Tribolium castaneum: one gene and its partner. The protein of the gene in region 2 interacts with the protein of the main gene of each other region in a biochemical or structural test. Links are inferred from orthologs where the notes say so. Each region holds a gene or a part of one and is shown on either strand. Other genes may lie near its edges. The genes, in order: PrBP and Arl2.

Region 1 (2,854 bases), on a different chromosome or scaffold from region 2:
AGAACAATTGACACTTATAAAATAACGCTTCTAAATACTGAGAAATGCCAAATGATGACCTTCGTGAAAAAATAGTACCTTCAACTCCAAATTACAAACTTAATTCGAAAGTGTTGCCAATAATAATAATAATAATTTAGTAGTAAAAAATCTTGATGCATTTTTTTATGATAATAAATTCTTATTCAACTATCACAATGAAAATGCTATCGCAAAAGCTAATAGAGTTCTTGTCTGTATTAAGAAATATGAGAAAGATATTATAGTGTTTTACAAACGTTCTGTAAAAAATGTATTAACTGTTAAATCTTGTAAATATAAATGTTTAGTACCGAAAATAAAATAAATAAAAAACAAAAAGATAAAGCCAATTATCATTAACTGTCAGTATTTTTTTATTTTTATTACTAGATTTATTTTTTTAATTTCTAATTTCATTTTTTTTCTAATTACAAGTAAGATAAGACATTCAACATAAATGTCGGTTATTTAAAAAAATTAAGACTGACAAATGTCAGTATGATTACAAAATGTAGCAATAAAAAACCATTTTTTAATGAGTAATAAATGAATTTTTGTGTCTGTATACGAGCATATTTCATTATTTTTATGTTCGTAACTTGTTAGACGGCTAAAACAGCATACTGAGTGACGTCACGCTTGCAGCGCTCTACATTACCGATACTGTTACCGGACAATCTCCCATTATACAGAGTATATAAAATTATATACTCTGTGTTCCCATTATTGCTGGTGTTAGGGTTTGCGAAATAAAACAATTTTTATTATTGAAAAATTTAATAAAGTAAATGCACACATTGTTATTATCACACACAAAGGTAACAAAACGCAACAGTGGCCCCGTTGGTGTCTTTTGATTCAAACGTAGAATAAACGCACTCTCGATGTGGAAATTAGCAAGTCGTCGTCATAGAATTTCGTTTCAATGACAACATTGCCGCTGGAAATGAAATTATTGATTAAACTCGATTGATTTGCGGCAATTTATACTTGAGGACGGACGCGGGCATCATTTCAGACTCAGGTGCTGCCTCCATGATCGATTGCCATGTATTTGTCGATTCTGGCATAACAAAACCAAATTCGAAGTACCACTCTTCAAGACACCGTCCCTTAAACAATACTTTCTGCACACAAGCCAATAAAACACCGCTATTTTGCACATGTTACCTGCTCCAGACGAAATTTTTCGATTTGTTCTTTGGAACTAAAATTAAACTCTCGAGATACTGCACGACATTTGAGGATGTTTTTAGGTACGTGAGCTTCATGTTCCACGTCCGGAAAGCTCAAGTCCTCGCAACCTTGCCAGAAAACGGTCCCACCGTCGGCGTCACGCAAACAAACCCAATTCCTACGCGATTTTTCAAATTTGCCCCCAAAAAAAAACGATACTCACACTTGAAAACCCTTAAGTATCTCTTCGGCGCGAGTGCTCTCGGACATTCTCCCGAAGAAGGCAAGGGGCGAATTCGTTGTTTGGATGCGATTTTGAGGCAAACATAGAAACTAACCTCAAAAAAGCAAAGTTTTGACAGCTGACAGTGATGACACGATCAGCGCGTCCTCTACTTTTTCGAATTTTTCCGTAACTATTATTAATTCAATTTGAAAAAAGTGCTAAATTAATGATAATAATGTTTTTTTTATTTTACGCATTACTAAAGATTAGAATATGAAACGACATACAAAAAAACTGGGCAATGAATTAAAGAAGAAAAAAAAACACAGTCGAATGCCCTATCGAAGAGCATAATATCCTGCAAAAATAAAAAAAAATGAAGGATATAAAAAGGGTAAAAAAAATAAAGTTTGCAAAATCGGGAAATCTTAAAGAATCTTTAAAAATTCATTAAGGTCCCAATGGGTGTTTGTCCGAACATGATTTTTTCACAGTCAAAGGCCCTATCAAAGGGCTTAATCTCCTGCAAAAATAAAAAAATTGAAGGATATAAAGAGAGTGAAAAAAATAAAGTTTGCGAAATCGGAAAATCTTAAAGAATTTTCAAAAATTCATAAAGGTCCCAAGGAGTATTTGTCCGAACATGATTTTTTCACAGTCGAAGGCTCTATCAAAGGGCTTAATCTCCTGCAAAAATAAAAAATATTGAAGGGTACAAAGGGGGTGAAAAAAAATTAAGTTTGCGAAATCGGGAAATCATAAAAAAAAAATAAAAATTCATTAAAGTCCCAAGGGGTGTTTGTCCGAAAATGATTTGTTTTACAGTCAAAAGCCATATCAAAGGGCTTACTCTCCTGCAAAAATAAGAAAAATTGAAGGATATAAAGAGGGTGAAAAAAATAAAGTTTGAGAAATCGGAAAATCTTAAAGAATCTTTAAAAATTCATTAAAGTCCCAAAGGGTGATTGTCGGAACATGATTTTTTTACAGTCGAAGGCTCTATCAAAGGGCTTAATCTCCTGCAAAAATAAAAAATATTGAAGGGTATAAAGAAAGTGAAAAAAATTAAGTTTGCGAAATCGGGAAATCATAAAAAAATTTAAAAATTCATTAAAGTCCCAAGGGGTGTTTGTCCGAAAATGATTTGTTTTACAGTCGAAAGCCATATCAAAGGGCTTACTCTTCTGCAAAAATAAGAAAAATTTAAGGATATAAAGAGAGTGAAAAAAATAAAGTTTGAGAAATCGGGAAATCTTAAAGAATTTTAAAAAATTCATTAAGGTCCCAAGGGATGTTTGTCGGAAAATGATTTTTTTACAGTCGAAGGCCCTATCAAAGGGCTTAATCTCCTGCACAAATAAAAAAAATTGAAGGATATGTAAAGGATGAAAAAAATAAACTTTGCGAAATCGAGAAATCTTAAAGAATCTT
Region 2 (3,165 bases):
CACCCTTGGACCCAGTTCTAGCGTCCCCGGTTTGGGCAACGATTTATTACTACGAGAAGGGGTCGCGAATTGGGGACGCGTTTCCTTGCCAAGGACTCTCCGCTTGGGTGCATTGCTTACAAGGAGGACCGCAGCGAAACGACAGGTTTAATTTGTTCGAGAAGGAAAATGCGGGACGCGAGTGGACGGTGAAAAATACAAGGCAGCAGATTGGGAGAGGGATTACTCTGCACTATGTTAAGGGGCAGATTTACGTGCAGTTGTGGTCCGATTCGGATCTCTACGTCAATTCGCGGTTTTACAATCGGCTTAAAAACTACCCGGGTGGTACTATTTGTAAGTTGTCGCCGTTTCGGTGCAGACACATGAAACTGTTCCGTGATGACGAATTTCACGAAATGTTATCTGCGGAGGTGGCAAAGGGTTGGGAGGCTGTTTACAGCTTAGCTAAAGTGTGCACCGTTCGAATCAGTTTTGTGGAGGGTTGGGGTAACGAAGTTGGGGGGATTACTGAGAAGCCTTGTTGGCTTGAAGTGCGCTTTCTGCGACATCTGGAGTGGACCCAAAGGACTTTGACGCAAATGGGGGCGCCATACAAACTACACTATTAATATTTTATGTCTTTTTTATTAAATATATTGTACAAAAGATAAATATTTTGATACAGAATAAATTAATCCAAAGTGAAAATTCTTGCTGCAATATCGTCAATTAACCAATCCATTCCTTTCAAAAGATTTTCGCCCGTAACAGCGCTACATCTCGCTATTTGCCAATGGTGGGTTTTGATTTGATCCAGTCCGAGAATTTCACGCAACTCTTCAGGGGTGCAAGCCCCTGGAAGGTCTTGTTTGTTTGCAAAAACTAGAAGAGTCGCGCCAGCTAATCTCTGAAAAAAAAGTAGTACGAACATGTTTCATACAAATTTATGTACCTCTTCTTGAAGTAAAGTGTGTAACTCAGCTTTACAGTCCTCAAGACGTCTTTTATCAGCACTGTCCACCACCCAAATAAGACCATCTGTGCATTCAAAGTAATTTCTCCAGTAGGAGCGTAGTGATTTCTGACCCCCGACATCCCACAAATTTAAAGTAAAACTAAAACACTTTATTTTGAAAATTCGGAGTGTGAATAGCAGACCTACCCTCTGTGTTCCAAGGTTTTGATATTGAACCCCAAAGTAGGTGAAATCGTATCAATTGGTTCCCCGTTAAACCTTTTCAAAATTGTCGTTTTCCCAGCGTTATCTAAGCCTCTAAATTATAAAATTAAGAAAAACAGTGAGATGTTTTGCACAAAAAATGAGTTTTTTGAGGTTAGATCTGGACGATAAAAGGATACAGCATCAAAATTCGCATTTCTTTTTCTTTTTGCTTCATTTTCTTTAAAACTGTGAGAAAACCCATTTTGTATTAAAAATTATTAGACACAATAAAAAAATTCGAAGACTTATTATTTTATGACGTTTGAGATTTTCGACATCTGACAGAAACGTCACATTACCGCCAGAACGTATGTTGTAATTTTACACACGAGTTTTGGTGATTGCCTACATAAGTTTGTTGTTCAACTACAGTAAAACCCCGTTTATTCGCAAAAAAGTTGCCACATCTGAAGCGAACAAGAAAAAACACCAATCATAATTCGAAGTGACTCTTTGTTAAAAAAAAGAATAATAAAAATGATTTGATATTAAAACCTTTTCAAAAAAGATAAACAAATAAACTTGTAATACAATCATTAAAAAATACAAAAATGTGCTTCTTTCTATCATTTTTGAAAGCCATCCTGCGTGGACGTTGTGCATACACTGTAGGTACTTTGAGCAAAAAATTGGCTCGTTTATCAGGCAAAACTATTTTGTTTTAAAAAAAATTACCTGGTGGTAATAGATCAAAATATTTACATAATACGACTAATTCGTATAATGAACAAAAGTCGCTTAATTTTTTTACCACGATTTGTTATCTTTATAAATTTTGTAAATAATCAAATCTCGAACATTCATTCGTATGATGCAATTTGTTTTATAAAAGCCTGAAGTGTTTTTTTTTCTGAATCATGTGTTTCAATTTTGATTGACTCTTTTATTTAAACGAAGTCTAACAGCTTCTTAGCTATGATCGTGCTTAAACTATAGGTTGCTTAAACTAATTGTTGTCAAAAGAGCTAAATTTTTATGTTAGATATGTATACTTGCTTCAAAAAATGATTTCGCAAAATACTATTATCTAAAATTATTGTTGGAAATTTCATTTATTCCATAACTGTATTTTTAGGATTATCCAGTAAACGAATCTAAACCCGCCCCTGCAGATAATGCTGATGTACTGAAAGTATCTTGAGCAGATTACACAATTATTATTTGACTGATTAAGTACTCAATCTTGAATAATAAAACAATACAAAAATGTGATTCTTGATTGATTAGCAAAATATTTTCCTGAAAAGATAAGAAACAAAAAAGTAATTTTGTAAATTACCTACTTTTAGTGTTTTTAAATAAAGGTTTGGTGTGTCGGGTTTTTTAAACTTTGTTTTATTTACTTTTAGTGAAAATAAGACAATAATTTTCGTAGATGTTTTGTATAGGTTTCAAACTCGGTTTTAAATTAAACTAAGTGCTTTAACTAGTCTCTTGTAATTGCTGGATTTTGAATAACAATCCCATAGTTTTAACAAACAACTACCTATTACCCAATTAACTCGTCTACCTAATCTCCTCCACTTCGTAAAAAATTCCATTACTAAAGACCATAGCCACTATCTAGATGCATTTTTAACAACTTTTTCGATAACACACCCATTTAAAACTGCATCCAGACAAGTCGCCCATCTAGTCCAACAATGGCCACCCTCACAAAAATATTTGCTTTTATCTTAACCAGCTGTTTTATCCTAAGTGTGGCGTTAGCCAACGCTCCAATTTCACGCTCATCGCGAAGAAGTAAATCTCATTCGGACAGAATCCTCGATGATTGATATTCTCAATTTCAGTCCACATCCCATTTTTGGGCCTGGGCCCACGCTGCACTGGATGTCCTCCGCATTACTGTGACGACGACCCGGCCATCATTCACGGCTATTGTTGCGGATGTGCCAGATTTTTTGGTAAGTGTAGTGGGTGTAGGTGGACCAGGTGCGAACAAATGGAAATGTTGCAGA

The links.
Region 1: the proteins of Arl2 (region 2) and PrBP are reported together in a solved structure, tested with the Homo sapiens proteins (2 studies listed by BioGRID and IntAct, with this or other methods). The link is inferred for Tribolium castaneum from reciprocal best matches to the Homo sapiens genes ARL2 and PDE6D.

The regions. Positions count from the first base shown.
Region 1 is NC_087401.1:12,577,055-12,579,908, reverse strand, and holds PrBP (retinal rod rhodopsin-sensitive cGMP 3',5'-cyclic phosphodiesterase subunit delta), read right to left. Parts: upstream 1,580-2,854; 5' UTR 1,468-1,579; coding exon 1,421-1,467; intron 1,376-1,420; coding exon 1,192-1,375; intron 1,149-1,191; coding exon 1,012-1,148; intron 962-1,011; coding exon 880-961; 3' UTR 780-879; downstream 1-779. UniProt on the Homo sapiens protein: Promotes the release of prenylated target proteins from cellular membranes. Modulates the activity of prenylated or palmitoylated Ras family members by regulating their subcellular location.
Region 2 is NC_087396.1:14,850,468-14,853,632, reverse strand, and holds Arl2 (ADP-ribosylation factor-like protein 2), read right to left. Parts: upstream 1,504-3,165; 5' UTR 1,407-1,503; coding exon 1,342-1,406; intron 1,256-1,341; coding exon 1,145-1,255; intron 1,098-1,144; coding exon 935-1,097; intron 890-934; coding exon 674-889; 3' UTR 612-673; downstream 1-611. Other genes in the region: protein mothers against dpp, read left to right, coding at 1-611; uncharacterized protein LOC103313727, read left to right, coding at 2,848-2,947, 2,998-3,111, 3,165-3,165. UniProt on the Homo sapiens protein: Small GTP-binding protein which cycles between an inactive GDP-bound and an active GTP-bound form, and the rate of cycling is regulated by guanine nucleotide exchange factors (GEF) and GTPase-activating proteins (GAP).